3 linked regions of the Saccharomyces cerevisiae S288C genome follow. Changing the gene in region 1 together with any one later gene gives a genetic interaction. Each region holds a gene or a part of one and is shown on either strand. Other genes may lie near its edges. The genes, in order: PLP2, PTC3 and YAP7.

The links.
Region 2: of PLP2 (region 1) and PTC3, extra expression of one rescues a mutant of the other (dosage rescue), as found in Saccharomyces cerevisiae (one study listed by BioGRID).
Region 3: of PLP2 (region 1) and YAP7, extra expression of one rescues a mutant of the other (dosage rescue), as found in Saccharomyces cerevisiae (one study listed by BioGRID).

What each region holds. Positions count from the first base shown.
Region 1 is NC_001147.6:845,675-849,106, forward strand, and holds PLP2 (Plp2p), read right to left. Parts: upstream 1,456-3,432; coding exon 595-1,455; downstream 1-594. Other genes in the region: FSH3 (putative serine hydrolase), read right to left, coding at 1-118; YOR283W (phosphoglycerate mutase), read left to right, coding at 1,779-2,471; HUA2 (Hua2p), read left to right, coding at 2,804-3,432. UniProt on the Saccharomyces cerevisiae protein: Essential for cell growth. Inhibits early G-protein signaling events following pheromone stimulation. Inhibits the folding activity of the chaperonin-containing T-complex (CCT) CCT2 which leads to inhibition of cytoskeletal actin folding.
Region 2 is NC_001134.8:111,961-115,739, forward strand, and holds PTC3 (type 2C protein phosphatase PTC3), read left to right. Parts: upstream 1-1,801; coding exon 1,802-3,208; downstream 3,209-3,779. Other genes in the region: protein phosphatase regulator SHP1, read left to right, coding at 1-748; PTH2 (aminoacyl-tRNA hydrolase), read right to left, coding at 841-1,467; YBL055C (3'-5'-exodeoxyribonuclease), read right to left, coding at 3,613-3,779.
Region 3 is NC_001147.6:270,003-273,307, reverse strand, and holds YAP7 (Yap7p), read left to right. Parts: upstream 1-1,937; coding exon 1,938-2,675; downstream 2,676-3,305. Other genes in the region: ribosome-binding protein MDM38, read left to right, coding at 1-1,305; YOL029C (uncharacterized protein), read left to right, coding at 2,888-3,305. UniProt on the Saccharomyces cerevisiae protein: Probable transcription activator linked to cell cycle that induces transcription activation of genes in the environmental stress response and metabolism control pathways, like the closely related YAP5.

The sequences.
Region 1 (3,432 bases):
AGTATAAATCGTAACCTAACTTCTTCAAATTCTTTCGTAATCCTCCAGTCTTCGCAGAAAATATCTTATCGGATTGGACAAAACCATGTAGCATTAGAACTTTCTTCTTTTCACTCATAATAATAATTCTGGGGTTTGTGGTAGAATTCAGTTTGAAAATGCACCGAAGTAGAACAGATTACTTTCTGTATTACTGCATCCATAGTGTTCTTTATACGCACAACTAGAAAAAGTAAATTTCTATCCTCTGACAACAAAGCGAAAAAGTAGTAAAACTTGATACCAGACCATGCTCCATATGACGATTTAAAAGGTTTATTCTGTCAAGATGTGCCTGCTCGAACTTAATAAGGGGTTTTATTGTATCTGTATCCTAAGTATGCTTGACGGTAATTAAAGAGCTTTAATTGGTTGCCATGACAACGGCTCTTACTAAAATCCATGCTGCAGCGATGTTCAATCATACATACCGTAATCCTCGCGTAAACATTCAGAGAAGTACATGACAAAGTTTGCTGTTCTTTATATCTGTATATATTAAATAATGGGGATAGTGACACCACTTAGCCTGTAAATAAGGAATATTCGCACTATTTAGTCAAAAAATCCATCATCATCATCATTAATGTTGCCATCATCATTTCCACCTATGCCGACATTAAATTTTCCTCTAATACCTGACCTGATCGATTTTTTTTCACCGTAATGCAATTTTCTCTCTTCCCTGGATTCTTCATCGTCTCGGTTCATTATCAGTCTGTTGTCTCCTTCTGCAACAGCGCCAACTTTTACCATAAAATCTTCAAAGTCTTCCATCTTGGAATTATTACCACCCAGTTCTAGTAGCGTTATCATGTTTTTGATTACCTCACCCCGGTAATATACAATTAATGTCGGGCAATTGGATTCGGGATAGTTTTCAATTGCTCTATTGGCAGGTATTTCTACAAATTTTATTTCTCTGAATTTGCATGCAGCAGATTGGAAAAGATGAGACAGAATTCTGCTTTGTAGTTTACTTTGAAGCGAGAGATGAACGAATACGTAGACACCACCGTCATCCTCTTCACCATTGTCATTGGTTTGTGCACCTTCATATTTCTTTCCCTGACTGGCCAAAGTAACCTCTTTGTTGTATTCAGGTTTGTTAATGTGGAAAACTTCTCCAAATTTGGAACGTTCCTGTAATTTGCGGATTTCATTTAATCTTTTGATCTTGTAAGCTTCCAAGAAATCTTCATCTTCATCGTCTTCTAGTTCTTCCAAATCCGACAAGTCTTTATCTTCTAGTCTATTTTCATGCTGCTTGGCAATTGCTTCTTCTAATGCTTCTTCTAACTTTGCAGTGGGCGAAGGTGCACGTTCTGGTATTACACCCTTCGCTCTTAAAATATCGTTCCATTCACTGTCTTCAGATTCGTCCACCTGGACCTGAAACATTGGTTCATTCTGCATTATGTCTGCTGAATATGCCTTTCTTCTCAGTGATGTTTACTCGAAGGCGTTATCTTGTACTGCAGATTTCTTCAGGTCGATCATATAACCTTTTCTTTTTTTCCTCTAGCGGGATTTCCTCTTTTTTCAGTAATTTTTTTTCCAGCGATATTAATACAATGGGAAAATCAGGTCGTCACAATATTACTTAATTCTTTTTTGAATTGTAGAACATAAAGTATTGCTTTATTCATTCTGGTTCGAATTAGTCTCATACTGTAAGATCAAAGCGGCAACGAAGCTCGAAGCTATACAAGCACCCAAAAATATATTTATACCCAAGAATGACTAAGGAAGTACCATATTATTGCGATAATGACGATAACAACATCATCAGATTATTCATTATTAGGCATGGACAAACAGAACACAATGTAAAAAAAATTTTGCAAGGTCACAAAGATACCTCGATCAATCCTACGGGAGAAGAACAAGCCACTAAATTGGGGCATTACTTGCGTTCAAGAGGTATTCATTTTGATAAGGTTGTCAGTAGTGATTTAAAAAGGTGTAGGCAAACTACGGCTTTAGTTTTGAAACATTCAAAACAAGAAAATGTGCCTACTTCCTATACTTCGGGGTTAAGGGAGCGTTATATGGGTGTTATTGAAGGTATGCAGATTACTGAGGCTGAAAAGTATGCTGATAAACATGGTGAAGGCTCCTTTAGAAATTTTGGGGAAAAAAGTGACGATTTTGTTGCTAGGTTAACTGGATGTGTCGAAGAAGAAGTTGCTGAAGCATCTAATGAAGGTGTCAAGAATCTAGCCCTAGTTAGTCATGGAGGTGCTATCAGAATGATTTTACAATGGTTAAAGTATGAAAATCATCAAGCTCATAAGATCATTGTTTTCAACACCTCTGTCACTATAGTTGATTACGTCAAGGACTCCAAGCAGTTTATTGTGAGACGTGTCGGAAACACCCAACATCTTGGTGATGGCGAATTTGTCGTCAGTGACTTAAGATTACGTTAGACACTATATGGTTATTCACTGTTGGGTTTTTCTCATTTTGTATTAGAAATGCGGTTTAGGTAGTAATAGAAATTTCGCATGCGTGTATTTTATTTTAAAACATATAGTTCGTAAGGGTTTATCTAAATGCAGTAGATGTTCATAAATTATAGGGGTTTTATGTTTTTATATTATTGATATAGTTTTTCACATGAGATGAGAACGACGCGTTTATTTTAAAGGAAAGAAAACTGTGTCGTAATATGTAACAAGACTACATTGATACTCCATAGCAGAGAAATGGATATGTTCTGTCGGTGGTAAATTCAGGTGAATTGTATATCAGTGAAACTATGCAACAAACAAAATTTGGCAAGATGTATTTGGACCACGATTCGGTAGTTGAGTACTCAGAAGATGAAATTGTCGAAGCCGATCGTATTACATTGGGCTATAAAAAGAGATTGTCAATGATTGAAAATCAAATGCGACATCTTTTGGAGGATTTTAGTTTGGACGTTCAGCAGATTGAACCCATTCTTGCCGACTTGCAGAAGTACTACGACGCGTTTCTACAACTTTTACAGAAAAGGAACAAATCATTACAATGTAAGAGGTCCACTCACCAGCCGGTCCCATCCCCAATGAATAGCCAGACATCAACAAATGCAAAGGTTAATTTGAGCGGAAAGCTTATGAAGTTTCAGCTAAATAGTGTACAAAAGTTCGACGAAGAAAATATACTAAGGATTCTGCAAAATAAAATAGAATTCGAACATTATTTCCAAATTGATAAAGGTAAGAAGCAAAAGGTGCTATTACTTGCCGTATATCAATGCCTCAATGGGCCAACACGTTTGCATAAAGTGCTTAATATTGAGGGAATTATACATAATAATAGTATCAGAACTATACTGGGCAAACAAGTGTCCAGTTCTAAGTGGACAGTGTTTCTGTACGATGTAAAACTAGTTTTATTGGC
Region 2 (3,779 bases), on another chromosome or scaffold:
AGCGAGAAGGGGTGGTCAAATGGGCGCTGAAAACGGATTCCGTGATGACGAAGACCATGAAATGGGTGCCAATAGGTTTACTGGAAGAGGTTTTAGATTAGGGTCAACCATCGACGCAGCAGATGAAGTCGTAGAAGACAACACTTCACAATCACAACGTAGACCAGAAAAAGTCACAAGAGAAATTACATTTTGGAAGGAAGGTTTTCAAGTGGCCGATGGTCCGCTTTATCGCTATGATGATCCTGCGAACAGTTTCTATTTGAGCGAGTTAAATCAAGGGAGGGCTCCATTAAAGCTCTTAGATGTGCAATTTGGACAAGAAGTTGAAGTTAATGTATATAAAAAATTAGATGAGTCTTATAAAGCTCCGACGAGAAAACTGGGCGGTTTTTCAGGCCAGGGCCAAAGACTAGGATCTCCTATCCCGGGTGAATCGTCACCTGCGGAGGTTCCAAAGAATGAGACACCCGCTGCTCAGGAACAACCCATGCCGGACAATGAGCCAAAACAAGGCGACACCTCCATCCAAATTAGATACGCAAATGGCAAAAGAGAAGTTTTGCACTGCAATTCCACAGATACAGTAAAGTTTTTGTATGAGCATGTGACATCAAATGCGAACACTGACCCATCGAGGAATTTCACCTTGAATTATGCCTTTCCTATCAAACCAATAAGCAACGATGAGACAACATTGAAGGACGCTGATCTGCTGAACTCCGTTGTCGTGCAAAGATGGGCATGAGCATAAATATACAAAAACAGAAACGGGAAAAGACTTCAACTTAATATATAAATGCACGTATATCTATACCCGTAGTATATATCATTTGTACCTCAATACAATTTCAAATCACCTGTTATTTGATCCAATACTGCTTTTGGAGCAGGTCCTAAACCCAATACGGTGGCACTTCCCGCAGCAATCTGTGTTCTACCAGCATCATGAATAACTGCTGCATTCACCCCAAGTGATATAGCCTTCGCATACAACTCGTCCATTGTAAACTTATCTGGACATTTCAACGTTATTTTAGCCTGTCCAGCATTTAGCCATCTTTGTGTCATAATTGGGTTGTATGAAGCACGCGCGGGGTTTGTAGCAATATGTCTAAAACATGACAATGCTGCGTGACAGCATTGTGCCGCTATTTTGCCCTTTGTCATGCCAAGATCTTGACGAATCACCAATGCCATCCTAACTTCTCCAGGTATATCATTCAATGAAGTGGACTCAATATCTTCGTCCTCATCGCTCTCATCTTCGCTTTCACTTTCCTCCTCATCAGTGTCATTGTGTAGCTTTCCTTCCTTCATTTCTTTAGAACGCAGTAAAGTAGCTGAGGATTTCTTAGTTGATGATGCGTTCGACGTACCCAACTGGTAACCCACGGCAAAGGAGATTGCGGTGAAAGTAGCCCATAAAGCTATGGTGTAATTCGAAGAAACTGTCATCTTTTCCATTAAAAAGACGTTATCATGTTACTCCGCTGTCAACAAGTAATATAGCAAGAAACAATTAGCTCTTATGCTTAAGAGCTTCTAGAAGAGTAGTAATAACCTTTAAACATTATTTTCGTCAGGCGTGATATCAGCGAGTTGAAGAAAAAACAACATGGGTTGTCCCTCAAGAGAATAAACTCAAAGGAGTAAAAGGTGTTTAGAGCTTGTTGGCTCGATTGTTGCCACCGGAAGGCCCCTTTCTGTTTTTAGACTATATTCATTTTACTTTTTGAAGTTTCTATTATAGGCAGACGAAGAAGGCCAAGAAGACAAATCGAAGAAAGAGAGAGATAACATGGGTCAAATATTGTCCAATCCAATTATCGACAAAGAGCATCATTCTGGTACGGACTGTTTGACAGCGTTTGGACTATGTGCCATGCAAGGCTGGCGTATGTCCATGGAAGATGCCCATATTGTTGAGCCGAACCTTTTGGCTGAGTCTGACGAGGAACATCTCGCATTTTATGGTATATTTGACGGTCATGGTGGTTCTTCTGTAGCGGAGTTTTGTGGCTCTAAAATGATATCTATACTGAAAAAACAGGAGAGCTTCAAGAGCGGTATGTTAGAGCAGTGCTTAATAGATACCTTTTTAGCTACAGATGTTGAGTTGTTGAAAGATGAAAAATTAAAAGATGACCATAGTGGTTGTACAGCAACTGTGATATTGGTATCTCAATTGAAAAAGCTACTAATTTGCGCCAATTCCGGTGATAGTAGAACAGTTCTATCTACTGGTGGTAATAGTAAAGCAATGTCATTTGATCATAAGCCCACATTGTTAAGTGAAAAATCTCGTATTGTAGCTGCTGATGGTTTTGTTGAGATGGACCGTGTTAATGGAAATTTAGCGTTATCAAGAGCCATAGGTGATTTTGAATTCAAATCTAACACAAAATTGGGACCTCATGAGCAAGTCGTTACATGTGTTCCTGATATCATTTGTCACAATTTGAATTATGATGAGGATGAATTTGTTATTTTAGCATGTGATGGTATTTGGGATTGTTTAACTTCTCAAGAGTGTGTTGACTTGGTTCACTACGGTATAAGTCAAGGTAATATGACGTTGAGCGACATTTCATCTAGAATCGTAGATGTTTGTTGTTCACCCACAACTGAAGGCTCAGGAATTGGCTGTGATAATATGAGTATTTCCATTGTTGCTTTACTAAAGGAAAATGAATCTGAGTCACAATGGTTTGAGCGTATGAGATCAAAAAATTACAATATCCAAACGTCTTTTGTCCAAAGAAGGAAAAGTATTTTTGATTTCCATGATTTTTCGGATGATGATAACGAAGTGTTCGCAATAACCACCAAAAAATTACAAGACCGCTTGAATCGTAGTAAAGATAATGACGACATGGAAATTGATGATCTTGATACCGAATTAGGCAGCAGTGCTACTCCCTCAAAGTTATCAGGTGAGGATAGAACTGGCCCTATTGACTTGTTTTCGTTGGAGGCTCTATTAGAAGCCGGGATTCAAATAAGGCAGAGGCCCAGCTCCGACAGTGACGGCAACACTTCTTATTTCCATGGTGCTTCTTTATCAGATATGTTGGCATCTTTAAGCAATGCGGCTGCAGGAGAAACAGAACCTAATGATGCTGATGATAACGATGATAACGACGGCGAAGAAAACGGCAAGAATGAAAATGCGAAGAAGGGTTCCAAGATTGAAGAAATTGAATAATAAATATTGTCGAACCGTACTTTGCAACGAAAGAGTAGTCAAACTTTGTTATCTTTATTTGTTATTCCTCTTCTGCCGATGGATTGTTTTTTACTGGATCATCTTTGCGGCCCATATTGAGGAGATGGTGAAATTCATAAAAATCATTACGAGAGAATGATAAATTGTAACAGAATTTATAAATCCTATTCATATAGATACATCTGTTTTTCCTTACTCTGTTTTTATTTTGTTGGTAACCTTTGAATCCTTTTTGATGAAAAAAATAGAAAAAAAAAAAAAAAAAAAATGAAAGCAATATCGACTGTATGTATATGCGCACCATAATTTTCCTATTAATAGTTTAAGCATAATTAGTGTACTTACTAAAAATAATGTAACTTTGCTCTTTGCACCAATAGATGTTACTCTCCAAATATCTTACAGGTCGTCTTCCACGTGGTATCTATCAAAGTAGCCAGATCCACGTCCTTGACTTCCGATACGACAATTGCTACTTGTTCCATATTACAAGGCTCATTACGGCCCTTGACCATGTAAAGTTCTTCTGCATTCAACTTGTCAGCGAGCT
Region 3 (3,305 bases), 580 kb from region 1:
ATCCCTTTTTCAGCGTTCCTTATTATTCCATTCGCCGAACTATTTTTGCCTTTCGCTTTGAAACTCTTCCCCAACTTACTACCCTCCACTTACGAATCCGGCAAGGATAAGCAAGCCAAGAGAAATAAGCTCATCGAGATCAGAAAAAAGACATCCGAATTCTTGCATGAGACTTTGGAAGAATCCAATTTGATCACTTACAACACCATTGAAAATGCAGAGAAGAAGCAAAAATTTTTGAATTTTTTCCGGAAGCTTTATTCTGCCAAGGAAGGTAAGATTATGACTTTCCAACACGATGAAATAAGCGCCATTGCGCAAATGTTCAAAAACGATAGCGTTTTGGATAACTTGTCAAGACCACAATTGGCAGCAATGTCGAAGTTTATGTCACTAAGGCCATTTGGTAACGATAACATGCTTCGTTACCAAATTCGTTCCAAACTAAAGGATATAATGAACGACGATAAAACTATTGACTACGAAGGCGTTGAAAGTTTATCGCAAGAAGAGCTGTATCAAGCTTGTGTGTCTCGTGGTATGAAAGCGTACGGTGTATCCAAGGAGGACTTGGTCGATAATCTAAAAGTTTGGCTAGAATTGAGACTGAGACAAAAAATCCCATCCGTCTTGATGGTTTTGAGTTCCACGTTCACGTTTGGAGGACTTCCAAAGGAGAACTATTCAAAGGCATTCTCGCCACTAGCTGAAAAAAAAGAAACAAAAAGCAAATATGACGACCTTTTGGATCTGTACTACGACGGTATATTACAAGTGCTAAGTTCCATTCCAGATCCCGTTTACAACGTCGCAAAACTAGATGTATCTGAATCGAAATCATCCGCTGCTGAAACTGAAGCTGAAAAGCAAGTTGCTGAAAAGAAGATAAAGACGGAAGAAAAACCCGAGGAAACTGCTATACCGAAGGAAGAAGCCACCGCAAAAGAGTCTGTTATAGCTACCACCGCTTCTGCGGTTACTCCTAAACTAGTCGTAGTTAATGAAAAGGCAGAAACAGCGAAGACAGAGGAAATATCTCAGGAAAAAGAGAACGCAGAGCCTACCGACTCTGCGGAAGCCACGGAAGCTGAAGAAAAGAAGACATCCGACGATAACGAGTTCAAATTGAACGTTTTGAAGGAGCAAGAAGAACTAATAAAGAAGGAGGAAGAGGAAGCTAAGCAAAGAGCTTCGAGAGAGCATGTGCCAGATGATATCAACCTAGATGAAGAGGAAGAAGCAAAATCTGTACCTCCCATTCCGGCCGATCAAGCTGCGAAGACTTTTGTCATTAAGAAAGATTGATATTAGATCAAAGCCTAAGAAAAAAACTAAAAAAAACTAAAAAAAAAAAGTCAATCGGTTCTCTTTTCTCTGACAACAATGGCAAAAGATCAAAGAGAAGCGTACGTCACGGCAAAACCAGCGACCCTTCAAAACTAAATTATTATGCATGTATATAATAGACACCCTATCTAAACTACCGCCTTATTTTTTTTTTTATACAGGAGCAAAGTGTCTTTTTTGTGATGGCCACGAGGGTCCTTTCACTCATGACTCCTTAATCAGCATCTTATGAGCTGGATTTTCATATATCGGCGATTTTTTTCATCGGTAATGCACGCAGTAAAGCTGCTCGCTCGAGAAAAATTAGTAATATATGGAAGAAGAAGCATAAGCATAAAAGAGAAAATCCGCTGCCCCACCGTAGAAAGCAAACAAGGCTATTGGTTATTCCTCTTTTCACCTGTACTTCAATCTGTAGCACATCATCATAAGAGGCTTGAAAGTTGCTCAAGAACAGTTTCAACGGTTTTTTCTTTTGAAATTTGAAAATTGCTCTTCGTTTGTTGAGCCGTTATCAAGGAAGTAAATCATCAATTAAAGAATATAGAAAGGCACAAAATTTTGTCATTTACGCACACTTTCAATGGATCATGAGACAACGAAGGTCTGTAGTAGCAGTTAGCGTAAAGCCCAAAGGCTTCAAATTGGGGCATAAACAGGGTTCCATGTCTACGACGTCTCCACCTCCATCCTCACCAGATGGAAATGTGAGTACATCAGGACCGTCAGCTATTAAGTTATCCAAGAATTGGGAGTTACCACAGCGCCTAAAACCGGGCCGCAAACCGAAATCCAAGCGCGGGGATGCATCAGCTAATAATGATGGATCGTCCAAGATAAAGAAGGTTCAAACTTCCAACCAGAAAGACCAAATGACCACAAAAGATCATGAGAACGAAGGCGCAAAAGGTCATGAGGGGAAATCTGATGATGAAGGCAACGGAAGTGGTGATGAAAACGGTGTCGATAGCGTGGAAAAGCGAAGGAGGCAAAATAGAGATGCGCAAAGAGCATATAGGGAACGCAGAACAACAAGAATCCAGGTTCTGGAAGAGAAGGTTGAGATGCTACACAATTTGGTCGATGATTGGCAAAGGAAATATAAACTGCTGGAATCTGAGTTTTCCGATACAAAGGAAAACTTGCAAAAATCAATAGCATTAAACAACGAATTGCAAAAAGCCTTGCCTTTGATTGTTAATACTCCATTTCAACAGCAGCCAGAAAACCCGCCAGACAATCCTATTTCGATATTAGAAATGGTAGAAAACTTTAAACCAATCGGCGCTGTCAGTTTAAAAAAAGGAAAGCTGAAGGCCCATTGTTAACATCTCATGTGCCCGCGGTATTAACAGACCAGTCTTTGTCTGAGATTGATATAGCCAACGATTATCAATATCTGAGCGGCAGACAGTTTAGTTCAACGAATTCATCGCTTGATGGCCATATTAATTCACCTCTGTCTTCATGCAGCAGCAGTATCAATGCATGTGCAGGCAGTGGCAACAAAAAAATAAAATGTTGTAGGAATAAAGATGCCATGAAACCAGTAACATGTTGCAACCAAAAGAATAACATAATGCCATCCTTAGTCCCCGTTTGCTGTTCAGAAAAGAAAATAGAATCCGATGCTAAGAAATCAATATCGAAATGCTGTGGAGACAAAGAAATCTACGATAGCGAGAATAGACCGATCACTAAAGAGGATGGGTCATGGATACCTGGAAGCTGCAAGCAATGTAGATCAGACCCCCATAGTAGGAATTTTTGTCAATCACTTTCGAATAAATGTAGTTCAAGCTCTTTCTCTTCCAACAGTGCGTTGTCACCGGATCTAAATGAACAACAAACTGACGTAAATTACAATTCAATCAAGCTACCCGAAATATGTTCCTGCAAGAATGCACAAATGAATGCGGCTTCCGATGCAAAGAGGTATCTGCCGATCAGTTACACAT